Arabidopsis thaliana: one gene and its partners. The protein of the gene in region 1 interacts with the protein of each later gene in a pairwise test. Each region holds a gene or a part of one and is shown in the gene's direction. Other genes may lie near its edges.

The links. The genes of interacting proteins can lie anywhere in the genome.
Region 2: the proteins of AT3G46070 (region 1) and RR16 interact in a two-hybrid assay, tested with the Arabidopsis thaliana proteins (one large-scale study listed by BioGRID).
Region 3: the proteins of AT3G46070 (region 1) and AT1G70000 interact in a two-hybrid assay, tested with the Arabidopsis thaliana proteins (one large-scale study listed by BioGRID).

Annotation. Positions count from the first base shown.
Region 1 is NC_003074.8:16,919,519-16,922,853, reverse strand, and holds AT3G46070 (C2H2-type zinc finger family protein), read left to right. Parts: upstream 1-1,896; coding exon 1,897-2,409; downstream 2,410-3,335. Other genes in the region: AT3G46080 (C2H2-type zinc finger family protein), read left to right, coding at 1-101; RABE1c (RAB GTPase homolog 8A), read right to left, coding at 3,114-3,197, 3,282-3,335.
Region 2 is NC_003071.7:16,968,144-16,972,079, forward strand, and holds RR16 (response regulator 16), read left to right. Parts: upstream 1-1,710; 5' UTR 1,711-2,114; coding exon 2,115-2,277; intron 2,278-2,358; coding exon 2,359-2,444; intron 2,445-2,541; coding exon 2,542-2,619; intron 2,620-2,696; coding exon 2,697-2,770; intron 2,771-2,880; coding exon 2,881-2,977; 3' UTR 2,978-3,091; downstream 3,092-3,936. Other genes in the region: AT2G40660 (Nucleic acid-binding, OB-fold-like protein), read left to right, coding at 6-74, 178-269, 428-491, 619-723. UniProt on the Arabidopsis thaliana protein: Functions as a response regulator involved in His-to-Asp phosphorelay signal transduction system. Phosphorylation of the Asp residue in the receiver domain activates the ability of the protein to promote the transcription of target genes.
Region 3 is NC_003070.9:26,362,134-26,366,379, reverse strand, and holds AT1G70000 (myb-like transcription factor family protein), read left to right. Parts: upstream 1-1,501; 5' UTR 1,502-1,744; coding exon 1,745-2,033; intron 2,034-2,125; coding exon 2,126-2,334; intron 2,335-2,418; coding exon 2,419-2,706; 3' UTR 2,707-3,401; downstream 3,402-4,246.

The DNA of each region.
Region 1 (3,335 bases):
TGAAAAAATCGAGTAGTGGGAAGAGAGTGGCTTGTTTGGACTTAGATTCGATGGAGAGTTTAGTCAATTGGAAGTTGGAGTTGGGAAGAACGATTTCTTGATTCGTTTTATTTCTTCATATTCGTTATAGGGTTTTAACATATTTTCATACAGTTTCATATTGTAATCTTTGTAGATCCATTTATCTTACCGATCGATGTGAATATTATTTTGATATACACTATTGGAGTTTACATTCAATGTACACTAATTTTCTTGTTTTCTTTAAATTAGCCCTTGAAGTTTGATCTATGAATGGTTTAAGTAGTGTTGAAACTTGAAACCATTATATGTGTGGTCAACTTCAACAACAAGAAAACAATTGAAACAAGTATAACCAGAGACAAGACTAAGCTAACCAACCTCTCTCCACTCTCTCTTACAAGAATCGCACATCCAAGGGAAGAAATTGTTAAAAAAAGGTTCAAATTAGTTAATCTTCAAGTTTGGATCGTTCTAATAAGTAGTTATGATTCCTAAATGTTCTCAAAGTTTTTCTTGTTTTCAGTTTTTTTTTTTGGCACCCGTTATCTTTAGATTATAGACTAATATTAAAAGAATTATCAACTATTCAAATTTTTAATCGTCAAACTAGAGATTGAATCATTGCATTGAGATTTGAATAATGTGTCGAATATAAATAATGAAGTTAAAATTAATTTAAACAGTCAAACTAGCACATAAAATAAATAGGTAAGATGCTTAGAGAAGTCTGTGTGTAGTAAACTTCAACAATAAAATGTTTCTATTAATTTTAATTTTATATGTATTCTTATATTAGATATTAGCTAAATGCTTACAGATATAACATCCTTGTCTCTATTTGCTTATTTAGTGGGAGATGAATATGAGAGATAAACCTAATTTGTGAATAAAAACATGTGAAGAGATTTGTGGTAAGAAGAAACCGCGTGGAAGTGTATCAAAAATGTCGCATCAAACCACTCTCTCATTTTCTTTTTTTCTTCTGCTTTGCTTCTAATAGTTTCCCTCTAGTTTCCGTACAACCACTATTTTCACACTTTTTATTCGTTCCCTTCTCGGTGACTCGTGCGAGAGCCACACACCTCTACTTGTCCCTCATTTACGTACGTTACTGTGACAAAATCTTAGTTAGATAATGACACGATGATCTTCTCAAGTCTTGAGTTCTATTGATCATTGCGAATAAAAAGACGTAGGTCAGAAGATTCCGAAGTATATACAAATGAATAATATGCGTGTAAGTGTAATTACTAGGACATGAGTTTCACAAATAAACTGAACATAAATATTGACTATCGAACCAACAAAAAGTTCTAGAAGTATGTCGACTATGAATAAGTTTTTTTCTTTTTCTTGGTGATAAATGAATACGGATAAGTTACGTACCAAGTAGATTTGCCCAATCTCAAATAGTAAAAGGCGGCTTAAGAAGGAACACGAACCCGAAGAGACCGCGTTAGAATAAAATATTTATTAAGATAATTACAATATTTTTTATATATAATATACATATTTATATATTAATTAAAACTTGTTTTTTTTATAAAAATAATTAAAACTGGTTATAGTACGTCTTTCAATATTTGTCTAATTAGTGGAGGAAAGCAATAAGAATATATTCTTTCACAAATGAATATTTCCATTTTTCCGAGTTTTTAGTGTTAAAGCGGTGACTCTGATTTTCTACATGTACATCTTTACACCGCAGCTTCAATTTTTACTAACTTAGGCAGCAAGTCTTGAGAGGGTATTTTCGTCAATTAAAACCGTCTTTACTCAATCCAGTCTCCTATATATAAGAGGAGTGAGTCAACACACACAAGCATAAAACAAAACCCTAGAAAGTCACTCGCTCGATTCGAAACTAAAATCATGGTTGCTGAAAGTGATAATCGTGATCTGACGGTGGATACGGCGGCGAGCTGTCTGATGTTGTTATCAGGAATTGGAGAACACGACGGAAGAAAGAAACGTGTTTTCCGATGCAAGACTTGTGAGAGAGACTTCGATTCGTTCCAAGCTTTAGGAGGCCACCGTGCAAGCCACTCGAAACTAACCAACAGTGACGATAAATCACTTCCTGGATCACCAAAGAAGAAGCCTAAAACTACGACTACGACGACGGCTCATACTTGTCCGATTTGTGGCTTGGAGTTTCCGATGGGACAAGCTCTTGGTGGTCACATGAGGAAACATAGGAACGAGAAAGAACGAGAAAAGGCTTCTAACGTATTGGTTACGCATTCTTTCATGCCGGAGACGACAACGGTGACGACTTTGAAGAAATCGAGTAGTGGGAAGAGAGTGGCGTGTTTGGATTTCGACTTAACTTCGGTGGAGAGCTTTGTCAACACGGAATTGGAGTTGGGAAGAACGATGTACTGATTTTTCATGTTCGTTAGGGTTTTAGTTTTATTGATAATCTTACATAGAGTAGTACTTTTTACATGGTTTTAGTCTTTGTTGATCCATTTATCTTACTATTCGATGTGAATACATGATCTGAATACAATCTGATATACTATTCAAGATTTATTTTCTTGTTCGCTAAATTTTGGTTTCACGTTTTATTAACCCTAGAATGTTGTTGAACTATGAGAATGGTTTAACTGGTGTTGAAACTACAATATAAGTGTCAGCTATAGTAACTGTAGTGCAACTAAAACATGATAAGTTTCTTCATCACTGGATTGCTAACACAATTATACGTTTACGACTCATAAATCAGGCAGTGTACATATTATGGTTTTGTATTGCTTATGGTTGTGTCAAAGATGAGTTTACGAGTATTAGAAGTAATGTTTAAAGACTTGATAAAAGAGGAAGCAAGAGAAAAATTAAGAACAGAGGATATATAGAGAGAAGTGATGACCAACATAAACAATTCAGTCACCGTCATAAAAAATCAGTAATAGAAAAGAAAAATACAAGTTTCGATTAAACCTTCGTACAAATAGGAAGGACAATTTAGAAGAACGAATCAGAATTGTTGGCATAAAACAAAAAATTACATAAGCACCCAACGATATCTTAGTTTTTCACTTCACCCCCAAACTTTTTTCGACTTAAACTTCACTTTTAAAACTTTTTTAAGTTCCACAGCATGCAGATTTCTGTGTGGCCTGCCCTGCTCCAGCTGCTTGGTCCGTTTGGCTTATCTTGATCGTTGCAGGCTGCAATTGACCACGTAACATGAATGATCAATGCGTTTTCAGACCTAACAACGCAAAGATGTGAAAGAGAGAGATGTAACAAACCTCTGCCCTCGAGTCGGTGTCTGAAAGCCTCTGCTTAATGTCCCTCCCTATTGA
Region 2 (3,936 bases), on another chromosome or scaffold:
TGAAGAACCGCCTCGTTGCACTCATCACAAATGTCAAACCTGGAAAGCTAAGAGATGTAATGTCACAAGGACTGGTAATACTCTCTTCTGTCTGCCTCAATCCAGCTCATCAGCTATCAAAATATTTCACACTCTCACATTTGCTCATTTTCTGTGTTTTTGATTTCTTTGCTGCAGGTTCTTTGTGCTTCAAGTGAAGATCACTCGGTGGTAGAGCCGTTGCTACCACCTGCTGGTGCTAAACCAGGAGAGCGTGTTTCATTTTCAGGGTACATAGTTTTAACAATATAACATCGAACCTCTTTGATTGCTTTATTTACATGTTTCCCCTCCAGCCATTAAACTCATATATGCTCTTTTCTTTTTATTTTATTGTTGTTCTTGTTTATCTCAAACTCAAGAACCCTTTATCGAAATGTTTATATAGGATTGAAGGAAAGCCAGAAGATGTACTGAACCCAAAAAAGAAGCAACTAGAGAAGATAACACCGGTATGTGTTTTTTGCCCTTTATTAGGTTCCAGACTTAAACAAACCGAAGATGCGAGTACTGTGTTTGCATTATTATACGTAAACATTCAATCTCACGAGGACTTCGGTTAATCACATGCATTTGCAGGGTCTCTACACTGATGAAAATGGCGTAGCCACATACAAAGGCATACAATTCATGACCTCGGCTGGACCTTGCACTTCCAGCATCCCCAAGGCGACCATCAAGTAGTAAACTCAGTTGATACTTCTCTCCTCTACTCTAGCGTTTTTCTTTGATATTCGCAAACTCAGTTGGAAAAAGAAAAGATGTTCTTTTTGTCACAATTCGAATTAATCTAAAAACTTTCTTCTTATTAGCTTTTTGACAAACATCATTGTTTCAATTTCCCTTTTGAGAACTCTCTGCTACTAGATACTTAGTTCCATTTTCTTTGTTCACTCCTTTCGTTCAAGCTGTGCAAGTCCACCATTGGATTGCAACGTATTACCTACAAATATCCACTTAGCTACTTATGGGGTTTTTTCAATCAGATAAACCAAGCCATTCACTCTGGATTGAACTATCAAACCAATTGTGTTCAAATAAACTTGCAAATTACTTCAATTAGAAGAAACAACCTCCTTTTGTTTTGATTCGACGTAGATGATCTTACAAGGAAGGATGATAAAGAATCTTAGACCTGGCCCATGGGGATCTCTAAAAGAGATTGGTGGTCCATTTGTGACAAAAAGTCATTACCTGTTTCCATTTATTCCAAGGATTTGAACCCGAAAAATAATAATGAAAAAGTTGATATCTAAAGAATTATCTTATCAGCTTACAAGATCCTGAAACAGATCCGTACGACTGTCACCGGACACATATGTTTCTTTATTTAGTTTCACAAAGAATCAGTCCTCCAAAACACACAACTTCTTTCTTATATTAAACACACACAAAATCTTTATTCTTGTCCCAAAAAACAATTATGATCTTTTTTGAGGTTCTTTGGCTTTTATTATACGATTTTTCTTCAAATCATATCAGATTGTTACCGAATAAATCTTTTTCATATCATATTTTCAGTTCTATGAATCTACTACAATTTTTTAATTTTAAAGTGGTCCAAAAGAAAAGAAAAAAAGAAACCCCACACGATTCGAAGAACATGTCCTAACAAGTAACACAATACAAAAAGACAAGTATATGCAACTTTAAATCTATAACGACTGGTACTGAAACTAAAACCCCTAAAAATAAGAGATCACGAAATATCCGTGATATTCTTTGATGCAATCTCTTCCCCATTGCTCTCTGTTTTTATTTACTTTTAAAAATTATTCTGCAGAATTATATATAGTTGGGAAATCATAATGGAAAATTCTTCACCCACCTAAAAAATCAAAGAAACCATCATAAATACCATCACCAGAGATTCACATGATTCATGCATACACACTTCTGAGTCTGTCACTTTCTTCTTCATTGTTTGTGTTTTGTCTTTTTGATTTATTTTTGTTGAAGATGGAGAACTAAAAGCAATGTCTGCAAGGTCTTTATATTAATGCTAGAGTCAGTCTCGCTTATTATCAAGTTGTTTTCTTTATCAGTTACTTGACATTTAAGGAACAAAGGAGATCATGAACAGTTCAGGAGGTTCTTGTTCGTCTTTAATGGATGTGGTGGCTTATGATCATCATCTTCATCATGGTCATGATGAAGAGCTTCATGTTTTAGCTGTAGATGATAATCTTATTGACCGTAAACTCGTTGAGAGGTTGCTCAAGATCTCTTGTTGCAAAGGTTCAATCATTTTACCTTTCATGTTTTATAATCAATCATTACTTTATGCAATCTTTGTCTCTAAAATGTGAATTTTTGCAGTGACAACAGCAGAGAATGCGCTTAGAGCATTGGAGTATTTGGGTTTGGGAGATCAAAATCAGCATATTGATGCATTGACCTGTAACGTAAGCAAAAAAAAAACATATAAAATCTTCAAGATCTATGGATTTTTTTCCTTAGGACATATTTGATATTAGGTTTATATATGTGTGGATTTTCTAGGTTATGAAGGTGAGTCTAATCATCACCGATTACTGTATGCCTGGAATGACAGGTTTTGAGCTACTCAAGAAAGTGAAGGTAATTATATAACAGCTTCTTGGAACCAATATCCAGAGATTTATATTAACCTAAAAATCTTCTGTGTGTTTCTTTAGCAGGAGTCATCAAATCTGAGAGAGGTTCCTGTTGTGATAATGTCTTCAGAGAATATTCCTACTCGCATAAACAAGTAAGAACAAATTGAGATCAGATTAAGAACTTGTTTCTGTGTTTCTTATAGTGTAAGTAATTAGTAAAGATCATCAATCTTAATGTTCTGTTTTGGTCTTTTGAAAGCAGATGTTTAGCGAGTGGAGCTCAAATGTTTATGCAGAAGCCTTTGAAGCTTGCTGATGTTGAGAAGCTTAAATGTCATCTCATGAACTGCAGAAGCTAACCATGAGAGATTTATAATGTTAGCCCTAACCATGAAACGTTTTCATTGTGTCTTGATTCCTTATTTGATTATTTTACATGTTTTTCTTGAAATCAAGAAATGTTTTCACATGCCCTATAGTAATCTTTATACACAAAAGGAATCATAAAAAGTGGTTGTGGTGATGAAGATGATGACGATGTCTTCTCTCTTCCAATCCTAAACATCGAATAAATGGATAACATGAGAGGAAGAAACATCTCTTTATTCCTCTAACCATTGAAAATGGAGGCCACACGCAACAACAACAACATTGATGAGTCTCTTCTATCGTTGTTTCTTTCTCTTTTCTTCTTCCTCTTCTCTTATCTCTTTTGCGGCCATTGTTGCACAATATTGACATCGTTTCTGCGTGAAAAGAAGAGTAAGAATCTTGTGCAGCAAGAAAGGTCTAGAATTTCAATTTAGAACAGAAAAAATTAATACGAGAGAAAAAAAAGAGCAAAGGATCTTAACTGAATCACGATGAGATTCATATAAGAGTACAATCCTGTTTTTCTTCTCTTACCTCGGAAAATTCACCGGAATCTTATGAATGGGCTCGAAAATCTTTGGCAAGGAAGATTAATGGTGAGAGAAGATGATGAATCTCTTTCTTCTCCGAGAGACAGAGAGAGAGAGTCGAAAGTCGAGACGCAGAGGAGAAATTGTCTCCTCCGGAGACTTGTACGTCTCCATGGAAGCTTTCAACATCATAACACGTGTCATTTCATATGTGTCTCCGTTCTCATTACTTTAGATCGGACCAAACCTACCAATCTTTTTTATGTTTTTTATTTTATATGTTTTGTTTATGTGCATGATGTTATTATTTTTCTTTCTTTTTCTGATTTGTGTATGTACCGCACGATTTCTCGTAGTATACACATGATTTGTATTTGAGACTGAAATAAAACCATGCTATACGTAGATTTGGTACT
Region 3 (4,246 bases), on another chromosome or scaffold:
CCTTTCCGTTTTTGATATTATATAACAATATTTTATATCTTTTAATCGCTAAAAACGAATATTATATAAATGTATTGGATGTCCAAAAAAAAAAATGTGAATGGAGGCTTTCATATGCTATATCACTATCAACCAATCACAGAACATCTTTGACAGAAGGTTACCTATGCACGTACACTACACATACGATGCTCTTTGTTTATATCTTTGCTTATAGTTTATCGATGCTAACCACTGTAAGAATTAAGTAAAGTTAATGCCAATTTAACATTAAGTTAAAATTACTGTAAAAAGTAAATTAGATAGGCTGCCTTTTAAAAAAATTGTTGAATTATAACCATATTTGCTTTTCAAACATGCATGTCCCAAGTAACAGAACAAACAAAAAAAAGAAGAAGTTTGGCGTAATGCTCCTATACCATGGGTTAGTGCTCTCAAGCGGGTCATGTGTACACCAACAATATCAATTTTTGGGTGTTTGCTTTTAACTGAAAAAGTAAACGCATCGAATCTTTATTATGATTTCGATGAATAATGATAAAATTTGGGACAATTTCAATTCAAGTGAGGAAAACGTGTCTGTGCCTTCTTGGTAAATCTAACACTGAAATTTGACACGCAGTTGCTTCTATAGTCAGTAATTCCAATAAAGCATCTAAAATTGCATTTGAATATTTAATCATAGTCGTCCCTATCAATAATTGTCACCAACAAAGATAAAGGGTAAATAAGAAACATATAATGAAAATTGAATGGTCGTAGTTTTATATGTTAGTTGGAACCAAAGATTCTTCAATCTATCATCCACTCAGAGCTACGTGGACAGTCGATATTTTGGGTTATATAAAAAAAAACAAAATTGTACTATAAGACAAAAGAAAACAGTATTAAAAAAAAAAAAATCAATAACAAGATTATATCTTATCCCAATGAACAAAATGAAAATTTAGTTATTTTGAATAATGTTACAGGTTTTAATTAAATTATACTATATCACAAACAGCAAGAGTCAGATACATCGAACGGTCCAGCTTTCCTCCTTTATTTTTTTCTGGCTATCGTTTTGATGCAAAGTTGTTTCGTTAATCGTGAAAATTAAAAAGCTACAGCAATCTTCTCCGAAACTTCATACACTCGCCGACAAGAGAAACTTCATCCACTCGGATTTCTCGTAACTTGCAGCACTAAACATTTCATGAAACTATTCACAAAAGTCCACGAACCTTGCAATTGGCCACAAAATTTAAAATACTTATATACGTAACGACAACCTATCCATATTTTTCTTTCTAACGATCCAAAACTGGCCACGCTTCGACTCCATGGTGATATTAACTAGGGAAGTGGCTAATGGCAAACAAGTGCTTAGAAGTGGTAAATTCAAATAATAACCGTCGATTATTTCTTTCTAACCGTTATTGAGGTTACCAATTAAAAAAAGTGATCACAAACTAGGTCAATGAAAAGGGAGATTTTTTGTTTTCTTTGGGCCAATGAAAATAGAAACTAAGATGGACAAAAGAAAATATTATAATTGGACAAAACAGAGTCATTTGAGATTTAAAACAGAGAAGTAATAAAGGTCAAATGTTTTTGTGGTGAGCTCTCAAAAACAGACATAAAAAAAAGAAGCAGAATCATTCCCATTTATAACAAACCTAAACCTCTCTTTTCTTCTTCTCTTTACCTTTTTCATTCCAAAATCTCTCTCTCTCTCTCTCTCTTTCTCTGGCTCGGGAAGAAGATGTCACGTAGTTGCTCACAGTGTGGAAACAACGGCCACAACTCTCGCACATGTCCGACGGACATAACTACCACCGGTGACAACAACGACAAAGGCGGCGGGGAGAAAGCCATCATGCTTTTTGGCGTCCGCGTCACGGAAGCTTCATCATCTTGTTTTAGAAAAAGTGTTAGTATGAACAATCTCTCTCAATTCGATCAAACTCCTGATCCCAACCCAACCGATGACGGTGGTTACGCTTCAGACGACGTCGTTCACGCCTCCGGTAGAAACCGTGAACGCAAACGAGGTTAATAAAATAACCTTTCTTCTCTCTTTCCCAAATCTCATCTCTGTTTTTGTTTCTTGTTTTTGAAACTTTCTTGCAAATTTGGAATTTAGGAACTCCATGGACAGAGGAAGAACATAGATTGTTTCTTACTGGATTGCATAAAGTTGGAAAAGGTGATTGGAGAGGAATCTCTAGAAACTTTGTTAAAACTCGAACACCTACTCAGGTAGCGAGTCATGCTCAGAAATATTTTCTCCGGCGGACTAATCAGAATCGTCGTCGTCGTAGATCAAGCCTCTTCGATATCACTCCCGATTCGGTAACGTTTCATTCTTTAAAATCTATAATTAAAATCAAGAATCTGTAAGATTATACTAACACATAAGGTTCGATATGTCAACAGTTTATAGGATCATCAAAAGAAGAGAATCAGTTACAGACTCCATTGGAGCTAATCCGTCCAGTTCCGATTCCTATTCCGATTCCACCGTCGCGGAAGATGGCTGATTTGAATCTTAACAAGAAAAAAACTCCAGCGACAACGGAGATGTTTCCGCTGTCGCTGAATTTGCAGAGGCCGTCTTCGTCGACATCGTCATCGTCCAATGAACAGAAGGCACGTGGCTCACGTGCCTCCTCGGGGTTCGAGGCGATGTCGAGTAATGGAGATAGTATAATGGGAGTGGCTTGATGAAGAAGATAATGTTTTAATTAATTTATATTGTATAAGATAAGATCTGGATGATGATTAATTTGAAATTTGAGAATTAGGCTAATTAGATACTTTGATCAGAATCAAGTGAGTTTTTAAGTTTGAATTAGTGTGTACATGTTTTTTTGCTCTTTTTGGGGGAAACGACTTGTCGTTTTTGTTGTTGTATGATGTAAAACAACAGGTAGTCTCTGTGTTGTTTTGGTCAAGACTTGATCAGATTCAGAAGTGAAGACGACTTCAAGCTTAAGATAGTTTAGATGTGTCTTTTGAAAAGTTTAAACAGAATGGTTATTGGGTTAAGGTTAAGTGTATCTCATATGCTTTTTCTATCTTTTTTTTTGGTAAGACTTTTCCAGTAATTTGCCGTTTTCTTCGGGGTGTGTGTTGTTGATAATGTCACATTCATGAACCAAACACAGTTATATTACTTTAGTAACAGTTTTTTTTTGTTTTTTTGTTTGTCGTTTGACGTCATTTTGTTTTATTTATGTTATTACATACATGGATATAATTTATGAAACTGCCAAGAAAACAAAGAATATAATTTGTTGAATTGTTATTGGCCTACCAACTATATCAGCAAGATTCGAATCTATACTTTGTTAAAATGTCTCAATGTAGGACTGGACTGGAGATAAATATAAAGTAATATATAGGGTAAAGTTTCTAAGTCTTGTATAGCATGATTTTTATTAGGGAATAGAATTCTAATTTCATGATGTAATTCAAACAACTGAAATGGAAAATTGTTTAAAACTAGCTAAACTTGTACAGTTGTACTATTTAGAGCCCAAAGTGATAACTGTTTTATGGCTTTTATCCATGCAAAAGAAAAACATCAAAATAAAGTGATGTCCATCACATACATCTTAAATAAAGTAATAATGGGCCTAGCTAAGGTATAGCCCATGGGCTTATTCGCTGATCTAACCAAAGTGTCGCTAATTTTCTTCCTTGTTTTTTTAACGCAAATTTTCTTCCATGTCAATTATGTCTTTTTAATCAAAAATTCCTCCACACCAAAAAAGAACGTAAAAACTAAAAATAGAACAAATTCAACTACACTCAGATAATCGAATTGCTATGTCCAATATCCAAAACATTTCAAGCCATTTAGTGCTCTCACTAAACATATTTTAACAAAATATGAAATAACATTCCCAAAATTGCGATCAAAAGGCTAGAAACATCTTCAACAATTATGACAGTCCTAAACCAACAGTTCAAACACGTTTTATATCTGTTTGGCCAAATTAAACGAATATAACATAAAAATACGATTGATCTTAGACAATTACTAAAGTTTCTAAATAATAATCTATACTTTCACAAAACAAGAAATACAAATTGATTCTTGCGCAGAAAGTGCTTTGGTACCTACTTTTTTTACCACCTTTCCTTTTCAATTGAGACATCAACACATTCACTAAAACAAACTCTCAAACTGCTCTAAACGACACCGTTTAGTTACAGATAACTTTACTTGTATTTAAAGTCACCAAAAGTTTGAATTTTT